Sus scrofa: one gene and its partner. The protein of the gene in region 2 interacts with the protein of the main gene of each other region in a pairwise test. Links are inferred from orthologs where the notes say so. Each region holds a gene or a part of one and is shown on either strand. Other genes may lie near its edges.

The links. The genes of interacting proteins can lie anywhere in the genome.
Region 1: the proteins of CCDC136 (region 2) and TXLNA interact in binary tests that used the Homo sapiens proteins (3 or more experiments, as listed by UniProt). The two-hybrid records come from large-scale screens. The link is inferred for Sus scrofa from reciprocal best matches to the Homo sapiens genes CCDC136 and TXLNA.

What each region holds. Positions count from the first base shown.
Region 1 is NC_010448.4:88,656,609-88,664,025, forward strand, and holds the start of TXLNA (alpha-taxilin), read left to right. Parts: upstream 1-3,442; 5' UTR 3,443-3,597; intron 3,598-3,828; exon of another isoform or gene 3,829-3,895; intron 3,896-4,133; 5' UTR 4,134-4,165; coding exon 4,166-4,343; intron 4,344-5,170; coding exon 5,171-5,500; intron 5,501-7,417. UniProt on the Homo sapiens protein: May be involved in intracellular vesicle traffic and potentially in calcium-dependent exocytosis in neuroendocrine cells.
Region 2 is NC_010460.4:19,819,945-19,827,155, reverse strand, and holds the start of CCDC136 (coiled-coil domain-containing protein 136), read left to right. Parts: upstream 1-3,418; 5' UTR 3,419-3,464; coding exon 3,465-3,522; intron 3,523-3,588; exon of another isoform or gene 3,589-3,861; intron 3,862-4,292; coding exon 4,293-4,400; intron 4,401-5,972; coding exon 5,973-6,224; intron 6,225-6,316; coding exon 6,317-6,391; intron 6,392-6,690; exon of another isoform or gene 6,691-7,174; intron 7,175-7,180; exon of another isoform or gene 7,181-7,211. UniProt on the Homo sapiens protein: May play a role in acrosome formation in spermatogenesis and in fertilization.

The DNA of each region.
Region 1 (7,417 bases), on a different chromosome or scaffold from region 2:
TCACTATGGTTCAGTTTGCATTTTCTAGAGTTTCTCTAAAGGATTTTCACATTTCTTCGCCACTCCCTTTGAGCCCAAAGTAGTTCACAAACTGCTCACGTTGGTTTAGATCAATTCCTAAAGCAGCAGCTGCAAGCCAGCAGCCAAAAAGTGTATACAATCCGAAAGGAAGGTTTTGGTTGGCTTATAGAGTATGTTTTAAATTTTAATTTGTGGCCAATATTGAAAAATAACAGTAATAAAGATGTATCTTTAAAAATATCTGGAACTCCTGAGCCTGAGTTTCTGCTTGAAAACAATGGGCAAGAGCTCTATTTAACCAGTCACCACCACTCCCAGTGGGCTCCCTGACTCACTGGCAGGTGCTAATACTGTTGCCATTTTCTTTTATGGCAAAGGAGAAAGTAACTTTCTAAATCTTCTTTCCTTGCCTGCCTGCTGTGCTCATTACTCAGCTGTAGGCCACTGTTGACCCTTCTTGGTACACATGCCACCCACTGCTCACCCCGTGCATACCTTGTCCTGGTATGTTCTTTATCTCTGCCTAGAACACCCTCTTCCTATAGAAATCCATCAAGGCCTGATTCATAGTTAATCTCCTTAAGCCATTAACCATATGCTTTTCTGAAAGTAATCAGGGCCTCAGTTTTGAGAGACTTGGATCTCAAACCTTTCAGAGCTTGAGTTCCATTATATGATTATACCAACATTACCTTTCACCGTAACCTGGTAAATGCTGCCTATGGGATAGGGAAGAGTACTGCCCAGAAGTCTCCTCAACCAGGGGAAACATTTACCATCTTAAGAGCCCTAAAACAATGCCCAGTTTGCACAATTTAAAACATTCTTGGAGGTCCTGCTGTGGTGCAGTGGGGGTTGGCAGCATTCCAGGAGTTCTGGGACATGGGTTCAGTCCCCGCCCAGCACAGCGGGTTAAGGATCCAGTGTTGCGACAGCTGTGGCTCAGATTTGATTCCTGGCCTGGGAGCTCCCTATGCTGCCGGGCAGCCAAAAAAAATTTTTTTTAAATAAAATATTCTCTGCCTTCTCTACCCCCAGACTGATGCTGGGCTTTAGGACTAGAGAATTTAGCCAAGAGTTATTGCAATTTTCAGGGACTTGTAAGCAATAATTTCAACACCTCATCGCTAGTGATGTAACAGAACTCTCTCCACACCTAGGGAGCTAGGATGAACTGCAGAGCACTGCAAAGGCTCTTTGAAGTGGGTGGGCCCCAAAAGGTTTTGTTTTACTCAGAAGGGCATTTTGGAAGGTGGTGCTGACTGGGAAAAAAAAAAAAAAAAAGCACAACCTAAACGTTGAGAGTTGTTTTATTTGGCAGACAAAACTGAGTACTTAAGTCCAGGATGCAGCTTCTGAGAGACTGTTCTGAAGACGTAAGGGAGAAGCCAGGATCTATAATAGTTTTTTTCAACAAACAGCAGGTAAATTACTGTTAATTAAAGAAAACCTGAGGAGTTCCCATTATGGCTCAGAGGAAATGAATCTGACTAGCATCCATGAGGATGCAGGTTCGATCCCTGGCCCCAGTCAGTGGGTTAAGGATCCGGTGTTGCCGTGAGCTGTGGTGTAGGTTACAGACATGGCTCAGACCTGGCACTGCTGTAGCTGTGGTGTAGGCCAGCCAGCTACAGCTCCAATTCAGCCTCTAGCCTGGGAACCTCCGTTTGCCGAGGGTGTGGCCCTAAAAGACAAAAAGAAAAAGAAAAGAAACGAAAACCTGATACTTCAAGTTAAGGAATTTAGCAGTTTTCTGTGTATGGGAAGATGCAAGAGTCTGGGCTTATTTCCTTTGATATGCAACTCAGCTAACTGGGGCCACTATCAGGTGCTTTTTCATCCTGAGTCTCCTCAGGGTGCTCTATGGGCTTGGGCGGGAGGGTGACTGCAGCACAGACTGCTAGATGGCAGGCAATTTGTTTCTACCCTGAGTTCCCCCAGGGCTCACCTTTGGGCAGCTGTAATGTGATGGCTTGATGGCTGCAACATCCTTTGTTTACTGATATGGCAGGTAACATTTTTTTCATCGACAATGGTATGGCACCTGCAAAAACCTGGGAAATCCTGGAAACAGTAAAAGTATAGCTGGAACAAAAAAGGCAGAGGGGGACGAAACATTGTAAATCAACTACGCTTTAATAATTTTTTTTAAAAGGCCAAGGGGATGAGGAGGATTGACAGGAAATAAAAGCAAAACCATTTAGGCATTAAATTTCAAGCACAGGAGTTCCTGTTGTGGCTCAGAGGTAAAGAATCCAACTAGCATCCATGAGGACACAGGTTCGATCCCTGGCCTCACTCAGTGGGTTAAGAATCTGGCATTGCCATGAGTTGCAGCGTAGGTCACAGATGTGGCTCGGGTCTGGCGTTGCTATGGCTGTGGTGCAGGCTGGCAGCCACTGCTCTGATTAGACCCCTAGCCTGGGAACTTCCATATGCCGCAGGTGCAGCCCTTAAAAAAAAAAAAAAAAAAAAAAAAAATCCAAGCACATAGGTTGCTGTGTTTTATTCTGTTGTCTACAGACAAATGGAAAAAGAATTGTGATTTCACATTTTGAGAAAAGCTTGGCTATTTTTCCCCTTTAGCACCAGTGCAACTGGGACTTGGTAGGAGTGGGCCAAAGAAAAGGCTCAGGAATCTGCTGAAACCAAACTTCCCCTTACAGGGCCTCAGCACCTTCCAAAGAGGGACTCAAGGTGGAAATGGGGATGGGAAATTAAGTATTTACTTTTCCAAGTTACCTTGACTCACCCTCAAGGAAAGCGCATCATGGTGATTATTTCTTCCTGAGTAAGAAGCAGGGTAGTCCAGTAGTTGAGATGGGTGCCAGACTTCCTGGCTTTGAAACTGCTCTAATCAGTCAATAGCTATGTGACCTTGGACAATCACCTAACAGGTGTAAATTGAGAGTAACAAATACTACAGTATTTATCTGGAGTAGTTACTGGGAAAGCTAGCATTCAAAGAACTACTGTTATTAAAATTTTCTATAGGAATACGGAAATCGAGGCTCTGGGAATGAAAAGAATGCCCGGTCACATAACAAATTAGTGATGAAATTAGGACTGGAAGGAATACAGATCTGATGTCCAGCACCGTATTTTATCCCTCGTCCTCAGAGTTCCTAGATAGTCACAGATATCCTCAGCAGGAGGGAAGGACGGGGTTGAGGTGTGCGGGGAAAAAGCAGCCAGGCGCAAGGCTCTGGGAGCTGAATCATAACTTCTGCGTGATGGAAAGGAGGTTGACGTGAGTACCAGTGCAGAATGACTGGCTGCTTTCGGACCTCCTGGGTCTGGGCTCCAAGAACGAAAGCCCTGTTGCAGCTTGGGAGTCGGGATCAGCCCGGTGCATGGAGGGACATGTAGTCCTTTCTGTCCCTCCACCCCCCCACTCCGCCTTCCCAACTCACCCGCCTCAGAGGCCGCCTTCGCTTCAACTTTCCCAGCAAGCCCCGCGAGAGCGCGGGCTATTGATTGGCCGCGGCGCGAGCAGGCGGCTCTGCCGGCAGCAGTTACCCAGGGTTTCCGGTGAGAGGCCAGAGCAGGAGAAGCCGTCGGGACGTCGGCGGTGGGGTGCGTATTGCGTCGGTTAGGGGTACAAGGCAAGCAGAGGGCCCGGGGCCCGACGCCTTCGGACGGTTCAGGGAATTACGCCGATTCCGCACGAGGACTCGGGCTGGAGTGCAGGGGCCGAGGCCTGTGCGCATGCGCGGGCGGAGCGCGCGGCTGGAGGGCGCGCGGGGCGTGGGTGGCTGCGCGCGCGCGCGGGGGGGTGGGCACACGTGGGGCCTGGGGGGCGGGGAGGAACCGGGAATCCAGCGTCCCGCCACGTCAGTCCCTGGGCCTGAGCCTGTCCGGCGCACGGGCTGTGGTGAGAGGGCTGGGTTGTGCCGGGGAAGTAGCTTCGGGGAAAAAGGAGGCCTCCTCTCCCCTGCTGTTGGGCACACCAGACTTCCCTGACCGACCAGAGATAGGGAGCCCCACTGGCTCCCATCCGAGGAAGGCCGGTCGGTTTAAGAAGCTTTGCGGGTCCGGTGTGGAGATATCAGATCCAGGCTGCGAAGAATTGTTTAAAGTCTGGAAAATAGCAAGTGTATTTGTTTCTATAGGTTCTGCTCATAACCTAACGTTGCAAACAACAATGAAGAACCAAGACAAAAAGAATGGGGCTGCCAAGCAATCTGGCCACACTTCCAACCCCAAAAACACCCCGGGGCAACCGGAAGCAGGACCAGAGGGAGGCCAGGGGCGGCCCAGCCAGTCTGCTCCCACGACAGAAGCTGAAGGTTCCACCAGCCAGGCTCCAGGGAAGGCTGAGGGTGTGTGCCAGCTCTGCTTTTCCAATGGGCAGGGGGAGGAGTTTATGGTGCGTCAGTCTAGCTTCTGGGGTTAGAAGCCAAGGCCACTGTTTATCCAGAAGGGAGGAAATGTAGAATGAGGGGAGGACACCACTGAGTCCTTGAGTGCCCACTCTGCGCTGGGGAGTTGATAGAGCCTCCCACCCTAAGCACAGGGACAGAACTCTCCTGAGAGAAGCTTCTGACAGGATTAAGTCAGGTTGGCAGTCAAATGAGGCACCCAACCAGCAAATCAAAAACACCACTTTCAGCAGTGGGTAACTGCTATTCCTATTTGAGGCATTTCTGGAACTTTTTTTTTTTTTTCTTTTTTTTCTGTTTCTTAGGGCCCCACCCTAGGCATATGGAGGTGCCCAGGCTCAAGTCGAATTGGAGCTACAGCTGCCAGCCTGCACCACAGTCACAGCAACACAGGATCCCTCACCTACTAAGTGAGGCCAAGGGTCGAACCTGAGTCTTCATGAATACTAGTCAGATTCGTTTCTGCTGCACCACAACGGGAACTCTTGGAACTTTTTTAATAGCAAGAAGTGACATTTGCAGGTGGACTAGACCTTGAGTTCCTGCTACATGATGCCACCTCTGTGTTGGGTGGTCTCCTTACTTGATTTCTCTTATAACAAGCATGGTTGGGCAGAGGTGAGAAATAGTTTTATCAGTAATAAAACTGAGGTTTAAAGAAGTTAGGTAACATTTAACCCAAACTAGTAAGTTTGGGCCTGAAAAAATCCCAGCCAGTGGCATAATGGTCTTATTTCTGACTCTGCCCCTCATCCCTCCTGCTGCAGGAGCACAAGCCAAAACTGGGGCCCTCCGTGATGTCTCAGAGGAGTTGAGCCGCCAATTGGAAGACATCCTCAGTACATACTGTATAGACAACAATCAGGGGGGCCCAGGCGAAGATGGGGCACAGGGTGAGCCTGGTGAACCTGAAGATGCAGAGAAGTCCCGGACCTATGCCTCAAGGAATGGGGAGCCTGAGCCAGAGACCCCAGTAGTCAATGGTGAGAAGGAGCCCTCCAAGGGGGAGCCGGGCGCAGACGAGATCCGGGCAAGTGACGAGGTCGTAGACCGAGACCACCGAAGGCCCCAGGAAAAGAAGAAAGCCAAAGGTCTAGGTGAGCAGAGGGCAGCTGCTTATGAGGCTGGTGAGGGGAGGGAGTTTGAATCTGACATTCCTGGGTTAGCCTGCTGTGCCAGGATTTGGAGGAAACACTACTTCCAGAGCAGCTACTTACTTTTTGTTTTTGTTTTTTCTAATGTTTTTTTCATTCAGCGGGTTTATTACATTTATACCTGTACAACCATCATCACAACCTGATTTGAGAACATTTTCAACCTACATAGTTTAATGAGAGCAGGGGCTGCAGGACCATAGCATAGAGACGTGCAGGTTCACTGCACAAGGGCTTCTAGCCTGGGAGCAAGCGGGAACCGAAGTCTAACCTGCTCTCTTTGAGAAGATGGAAAGAAGGAGGCCTGAGTGGTCAGTCCTCTTCAGCCAGCACCACTTCTAACTTGCTGTGTGACCTTGGGCGAGACCTTTCTCCTCTCTGGTCCTTGGTTTTCACTTCTCTACACAATAAGAGAATTGGATTAGATGAGGTTGAAAACTCAAATAAAGCCAAGCTAGCCAGAGGCACCCATGAGGACCAAGAGAATGCCTGCTTTATTCAAAGGCTTGACTGCCACCTGGCCCCAGGTGAGACGATAGCATGGAAAACTACAGGCTAACTGTAGCTGGCATTTGTTTTTTGTTTTCTGTTTGGTTTTTTTTTTTTTTTTTTTTTTGTCTTTTGTCTTTTTGTTGTTGTTGTTGCTGCTATTTCTTGGGCCGCTCCCACGGCATATGGAGATTCCCAGGCTAGGGGTCGAATCGGAGCTGTAGCCACCGGCCTACGCCAGAGCCACAGCAACGGGGGATCCGAGCCGCGTCTGCAACCTACACCACAGCTCACGGCAACGCCGGATCGTTAACCCACTGAGCAAGGGCAGGGACCGAACCCGCAACCTCATGGTTCCTAGTCGGATTCGTTAACCACTGCGCCACGACGGTAACTCCTGGCATTTGTTTTTTAAGCCAGAAATCTAGGGTTATTATGTGACATCTCTAGATTTTTTACAGTTGGCAACTAATACACTAGAAGCCAAACATAACCCATCTGTGGGTTGTATTTGGCCTGTGTGCTAGTGATTTTCAGTCTGTGCATTGATTTCAGAGCCTCCCAAGGTTGACACTTCAGGAGCCTAGTGCTGTGCTATCTACGCTGATCCTCTTTTTTTTTTTTTTGGCTTTTTTGCTATTTCTTGGGCCGCTCCCACGGCATATGGAGGTTCCCATGCTAGGGGTTGAATCGGAGCTGTAGCCACCGGCCTACGCCAGAGCCACAGCAACGCGGGATCCGAGCCGCGTCTGCAACCTACACCACAGCTCACGGCAACGCCGGATCATTAACCCACTGAGCAAGGGCAGGGACCGAACCCGCAACCTCATGGTTCCTACTCGGATTCGTTAACCACTGCGCCACCACAGGAACTCCTGATCCTCTCTTTGACTCAGGCACAGCCTAAAGGGGAGTGACTTGGGTGCAGGTAGAGGGTTAGTGTGTGTTAAAGAATCAAAGCTAGGGAATTCCCATCTTGGCTCAGTGGTAACAAACCCAACTAGTAACCATGAGGACTTGGGTTCAATCCCTGTCCTCCCTCAGTGGGTTAAAGGATCCCGCATTGCCGTGAGCTGTGGTGTAGATTGCACATTCAGGCTCAGGACCTGTTGTTGCTGTGGCTGTGGTATAGGCCGGCGGCTACAAGTCCGATTCAGCCACTAGCCTGGGAACTTCCATGTGCTACAGGTATGGCCCTAAAAAAGCCAAGGAAAGAATCAAAGTTAGGAGACATTATACCCACATCTTGGTCCCTACTACCACAAGTCCCGACCCCCTACTTGTCATCCTAATTTAAAGAATATTTTTTTGGTTATTTTCATCATGGAATCAAGTATTGGAAGGTGTAGTCATTTTATTTTACTTATTTAT
Region 2 (7,211 bases):
TAATCAAGCATTGAAAGCCACTGTTAGTGGAGTGTGAACTGGTCCATATGCTTTACAGAAAAATTTAGTCATATCTAGTAAAGTTTAAGCTGTACAGATTCTATGAAATTCTACTTCTAGGTATCTATCTGCCTTGGAGAGGTGCTTACGTATATGCCAAGGAGGCCTGCCCAGCCCTGTCCATCACAGCACTGTGTATAATATAGAAAAATTGGAAACACCCTAAATGCCCATTAGCAGAAGAATGGATAAATAAATCATGGTATATTCAATGAAAGAGTATTCAGCAGTTAAAATTCACAAACTGTAGTTATATGAAACAGCATGGGTAAGTGAAAAAAAAGTTAGGAGAAAAAGAAAGTTTGCAAAAGAATGTGTACAGTATAACTCCATTTAAATACATATATATATATATATTTTTTTTTTTTTGTCTTTTTTCCAGGGCTGCACCCATGGCATATGGAGGGTCCCAGGCTAGGGGTCTAATCGGAGCTGTAGCCGCTGACCTACGCCACAGCCACAGCAACGCCAGATCCTTAACCCATTGAGTGAAGCCAAGGATTGAACCCGCAATCTCATTGTTCCTAGTAAGATTCGTTAACCACTGAGCTACAACGGGAACTCCAATTTAAATATATTTTTAAAACATACAAATCAGTACTTTGTTTGTGGATATATATATTTATGTAAAACTGTAAGACCATAAATAGAAGGGCTGTCTCTGAATCAAATGTGGCAAGAAATGAACAATTGTTGGATTTCAGCGGTGAGCACATGGATATTAATTTTAATGTTATTTTCTGTACTGTACTCTTTGCATCTTTAAAAGATTCCCTTTTTTTTCTTTTTAATGAGAGGATCTAGGCCTTTAGAAATAAGGGTCAAGGGGGATAAATGGCTGCATCATCCTCAGAGAAGACGATCTGCTGGGATGGGATTAGGACGGAGGCTGAGTCCTGGGTCCGGGGATTACAAGGATTAATTCAGATCATCCCCCTAAGCTGATCACCTGGCTGGGGTCCCCAGCATTCCTAGCCCTTCAAAGATACATCCTTGGACCACAGTCCACTTCCCCCCCTTTTACCTGCTAAGCCCTTTCCCTCGGCTTCCTATCTTTACTCTCACCCTCAACCCTGTACCGGTCTGGCCTAGTTTAACCACATTTGGGTCCCGAAAAAAGACTGGTTCTGGTCTCTCCTGAACACTCCCCAGATGAAGGGTGAATGGTGACCTGCACCTCTGGAGCCAGGGAGAGATTAGTCCTAATACTCCGGATCAGAGCTCCCCGAGGAAAGCTTGGACCCCCGGATGTTACAGTTGACAACTTCCTCCCTTCCATCAGCCAAGAGGTCAGCGCCCAAGGTCTACTGCTAACTGACCTTGGTAGTTCGGCCAGAACCAGGAGCTGCGCTGGGGCAGACCAGTCACTCTCCTTCTAGGATTAGACTTCATCATTCCCCAGAGCCCTACACAACACCAGCTCCTTTCCATCATCCCTGACAAACTGCCCTGCTCCCCAAGTCTGGACAGGCCTGATGTCTGCAGCAGATGTTCTGGGTGGGCTTGCTCGACAGCCTTTCTCCAGACTGGATCGCCTTGATCCCAGGCTCTGGAGGGGAGCTCAGTCCTCTGAGGAGCCAATGAAACATCTTGATCTGTGCTCACCATCTCTCGGAGCACATACCAGGCTGGAGGTATGAGAGGGAGGAAGGAGGGGAGGAGAGAGAGAGATTTATAGGCAACATTATTGGGTTTTTTTTTTTTTTTTTTTTTTTTTTTGCGTGTGTGTCTTTTGTCTTTTTAGGGCTGCACCTATGGCATATGGAGGTTCCCAGGGTAGGGGTCGAATCGGAATTGTTGCCACCAGCCTACGCCACAGCCACAGCAACGCCAGATCCCAGCTGCATCTTCGACCTACACCACAGCTCACGGCAATGCCGGATCCTTAACCCACTGAGCGAGCCCAGAGATTGAACCCACAACCTTATGGGTCCTAGCCGGATTCCTTTCCACTGCGCCACGACGGGAACTCCAATACTATTGTTAATAGGCAACACTGAACACCTTAAGTGTGGGATCATACGTTAAATGATAAGCAGAGCATTAATTAGGAGATTTAACTTCACTCATTTATTCTGTGTCAATGATTTAGATACTGGAGATACAAAAACGACTAAGGCAATTTCCTGGTCTTCCAAACACTGGGCTGACAGGAAAGTCAGAACATGACCTTGACAACCTAGAGTGACTGGTGCTGCTTAGAGGGAAGGGGGAGGGGTCGGAGCACAGCAGGAGCATCTAATGGCTTGGCTGGGTGGTGAGTCGGGAATGGCTGCCAAGAGATGACTCCCAGCTGAGTGTTTAAGGGTACGTAGGGGATGTCGAGGCAAAGAAGGGCTTCTCTCCTGAGGAATATGGAGGGCTTGTGAACTTGGGAGCCGGTGGGCGTGATCCAGACAGTATATGCCCATGACCTTGTAAGTGGATGCGCAAGAGAAGGGACTGTCCCTGGTTTAGGAATCTCCCAGTGATTTTCCAGATGTGCTGGAACCTCCGGGTTCCCAAGTGTACCCATTTCTTTCCTGGCTGAGACCTGCAGAGGCGTGAGCCCAATTGGTTCGCCAAAATCTGGCACTTGGAAGAAGTTCCTTGAAGGAGCGGTTGAGTGAAATAAGCTATCTGGGCTTTCACATCTCCCTTCTATGAGAGTGAAAATCGGCAGTGCCCACTCTAAACAGCTGCAGAGGCTAGGTGAGTAGGGGTTGTGGTTTGCAGACCACCGGGCCTGGGGCCCGGTGGGAAGGCAGGCAATGGAGAAAGGTCTTCGACACTAAGGGCTGCGTGGGGTCCCGGAGCGGCCCCTTCTAAGAAGGTCCCTGCTTGTGGCTTGGCGGAGGGCGCAAGGCCAACAGAGAGATCAAGGCCCGCAGTTGAAGTATCCTGGCTTCGGTTTCCCTCCTCCAGCCCTGGAGCAGCCCTGAGGCTGAGGCTGGCGGCCGGAGGGTCTGCGCTGACTGCCCAGGTGGAGGGTGCCGCTCAGCCGTGGGGAGCAAGGGGCGTGTGAGCATCCGCGCGTTTGGAGGAAACAGGCCAGGAGGATTTGGCTCTCCTGGTGCTTGCTTTTCCTTCCCCACCGCCGAGCAGGACCGGGCCCTGGCACTTGGCGCAGAGGGGTGCCCCCACGCAGCCGCCTCCCGGCAGGACCCACCGCCAGACCAGGGGAGCCGGTCGCTCCCTCGGCGCGGGCCTCGGGGCGTGTCTGGCGACGCGCTTGCACCGGGTCCGGGAGCTGGGGTGCAGGGCCGGCTTCCGGGCGGCGGCGGCGGCGGCGTCAGGTGGCCTGGCCAGGCCCCGCCCCCTCGGCCGGCCCGGCCTTCCTTCCCCTGCGCACCCGGCTCCGGTCCCCGGCCTGGCGGCGGCGGCGGCGGCGGCTGCTCCGGGCGGCGGCGGCGGCGCGAGCGGCCATGGAGGCGGGCGCCGGGGCCGGCGCGGGCGCCGCGGGCTGGAGCTGCCCGGGTCCAGGTCAGAGCGCCCCTCCCTCACTTCGCCACCGCCGCTCCTTCCTCTTCTCCATCTCTCCTCCCTCCAGACCCCCAGGTCCTCTCCCCCTCCGCTGCTCCCCACCTCTCCGTCCTAAGTCTTCCTCCTCCATCCTGCCCCCAGCCCGGGCTCCGGCTCCATCTTTCCGGGCTGGCTCTTCCCCACACCGGCCGCATCATCCCTGGCAGTCCCTCCCCTGAGCCCACTCCATCTGGTCTCTCCAGCCTGACGGTGCTTTTTGCCTTGGGGGCTCCAGACCCCGCACCTGCTCGGACCCTGAAGGCTTCGGAGCGCGGGGCGGAGTGGGGAGGACGAAGTCCAGTGAGAGCTGGAATGGACGGCAGCGGCCCCAGTCCAGACCCCCTTCCCGCACGCGTCCCCTCACCCCTTCCCCTTCCACCTCACCCTTTGAGCCTCTTCTCTTTGCTGGCTCCCGCCCTCTTCCATCCTTGCCTGTCCCCTCTGGGCTAAAGAGACACACACACGCCCTTTCTGTCTGTGCAAGGGAGAGGAGCACGGACTGGGGGGCAGAGAAGCTGGGCAGTGCAGGGCGGTGTCCCCGCAGGCCCGCTTGAGGGGCCACCTGGGGCGGAGAGTCGCAGCCCTGGGCAGACTGAGCCAAGTACTTCCACTGGGATGAAAAACCCCAGGGCTCCAAAGGGCTAGGAGGCATGTCCCCTCCCCTCCCCGCTGCACCCCAGCCCCCAGCCGCCCCTAGCATCCCACAGTGCCCCCTCTCTCCCTGCTTACAGGACCCACAGTGACCACTTTAGGCTCCTACGAGGTGTCTGACGGTTGTGAGAGGAAGAAAGGCCAACGCTGGGGGTCCCTGGAAAGGCGTGGAATGCAAGCCATGGAGGGTGAGTTTTCCCCAAAAGCTTTCTTTCCCTCCACCTCGTCCAGCTTCCCTCTCCTCCTTCCTCCCTCTGACCCCCAGAACTCTGAGCCAGGACACAGCCCTTCCCCAAGTTCAGCTCAGCCCCCTCCAACCCTCCTCAGGGCTCGGGCTTTGGGGAAAGTTCAGGGTACATCCCTTTGGGGTCCTAACCACCAGCTAACCAAGTTGTGTGTCCCCAGGGAGCTGCCAGAGAGAGAAAGAGGCCTCCTTGGACAGAGATTTGAAGCAGCTGTGCAGCAGGGGGTTTGTTCTCGCTGCCTCCCGACCCAGATCCCAAGCTGTCTCTTATTTTGAAAAGCCAGAGGAGTGAGCATGTGAATTGTCTTTCTGGTGTCACCACTAACTTCAAATGGAAGCCTTGTGACTTCGGTTCTCTAGGTTATCTTACTGCCTGAAAGAGGGAGCCTGGGAGAGGGGCCGGCGAGAAGGCCAAGCTCCCAACGCGCATCTCACCCTCGACACCCACACAGCTTGGCACTTGCTGCCTAAATGAGGCCCCTAGAAGGATGCTGGTCCTATTTCCAGGACTTTCTGTGTAGGGTCCCCAGGTCCCTATACACACGTCCACGCTCCAAGAGGGACGGATGAGACAAGGGGTCCCAGATAAACCTTAGGCTGTGATTATTAGACAAAGATGGACCAGAGATTGAGAATTTTAAAACAAAGCAAGCTCTTACCATCCAGGCAAGATTTTGCTATTGAGAGGAACTGCATTGCAGCAAAGGAGAGGGGTTGCTCACCAGCCAGAGGCTGGGGACCAGCACACCCCCATTTCTTAATGCATTAAAATGGCAGGCTTTCTTTTATTCACGAGGAGAATCCTTGACTTCCCCCCCAAAACTGCCTTATGGTCAGCAGGGGAAGGGGCCTCAGAACACTCAGGGAGAGGAGGGGAGACCTCCTGACACAGCAGAAAAGAAAGGTGGACCTGGCAGAAAATTTCCAAAGGGCTATTCGATAGAATGTATTTGAAAGGGGCCCCGTCTTTGTCCAGAAAAGCATTTAGAATCATTTCAGATGATTCTCTTTGGCTGTTCTCTTTCTCTACTGACTGACAGGCAACGCTTTCTTATTATGGAAGGGCTAATTTCTCACAAGCCACCTGGATCCTTGGTAAACTTAGTACAAACCCCCAAACTGTAATTCTTGTCCTGTTGGGCTTAAAGACACACCCGGTGTCTGACTCTTTCTTGACTACCCAGAGACGAGGCTGGAGGAAGCAGCTATCCTTGTGCGAGCCTCATGGGGCTCAGCCGGGCCCTTGGCTGCTCAGTGTGCCCAAAGGCAGTACTAGGAGGCCACCAGGTGCAGCACTGGTCCAGGAAGGGCCCGGGAGGGGGATGGGCTACCTCCAACCCCGACCCTCACACCTGAGGACTCGTCCCGTGTGCAGGTCCTGCCCAGAGGCTCCTTGGGGGACACCAGGTGGCACTATGATACCATCTCTGCCCTGGGACAGCATGCTAGAGGGCCCTGGAAGGACCAAGGACAGGAAGCTGGCTCTTACTCGCTGGGGGTGGGGGGTCTTTCCTAGGGGAAGTGTTACTCCCAGCCCTCTACGAGGAGGAAGAGGAGGAGGAAGAGGAAGAAGAGGGGGAAGAAGAGGATGATCAGGTGCAAAAGGGAGGAAGCGGGGGCTCCTTGTCCCTCAGTAAGCACCGGGGCCTGAGCCTCACGGAGACCGAACTGGAGGAGCTGAGGGCTCAGGTGCTGCAGCTGGTGGCAGAGCTGGAGGAGACCCGGGAACTGGCAGGGCAGCATGAGGATGACTCGCTGGAGCTGCAGGGTGAGTGCCTGTGACGGACCCCGAGGGCCGGGGCCCAAAGGCTCTGTGCTCCCTGGATCCCAGGCCTGACGCCAGCTCCCCCTTCACTGCAGGGCTCCTGGAGGATGAGCGGCTGGCCAGCGCCCAGCAGGCAGAGGTGTTCACCAAGCAGATCCAGCAGCTCCAAGGTAAATCCTGCACTCAGACTGGAGGGCCCGCCAAGTACTTTTGTCTTGAGGGCTTGGCGGAGGCACGCAGACCAATAGGACCGAAATCAGTACGTTCCCCTCATTTTCTTCTACTGTGCTTGCCCTGCTCCTATCTCTCCAGCCTCCTCTTTATTTATTAATTTTTATTTTATTTTATTTTTTGCTTTTTTAGGGCCATACCCGTGGCATATGGAGGGTCCCAGGCTAGGGGTCGAATCGGAGCTGTAGCTGCCAGCCTATGCCAGAGTCACAGCAACGTGGGATCCAACCCGCATCTGCGACCTACACCACAGCCCACAGCAACGCCGGATCCTTCAGTCTCCTGTTTAGCTCATTTCCTTTCTTCGTGCCTCTCCAACTGGCTCTTCTGTGCCCCCCCTTCTTGCCCTCCCATTTCACACCCCTTCCCTGCAGCTCTTTTTTCTCTCCTCAATCGCTCTTCTTCACACCTGCAGCCCTTTTTCTTTGTTTTTCTGGTCAGTGCCAGGTGTCGGTGGTCAGGGTTTAATTTCAGACCAGATTGCCTTGGCCTGGTCCTCCAAGGGCACCCTGGGAAGGCAGAGCAGCGAGCCAATGAGATGTGACTGGAGGGGCCGCTGTGCCTCTTTTAAAGGAAGCGGATGAGCTCGCGCCCCTCGCCCCTTGCCACCTAGGACTGAGCTGGTGGCCCCAGGAGCCCTTTCTTCTAACGCCCACATCCCTTTGTCTCTGGGAACCAGCAAGGCAGGCGTCCCACATTCCACTGCACCGCCAAATAAAGAGGCAGGTTTTGTTACATCTGTGGGCTTTTGGAAGGTTT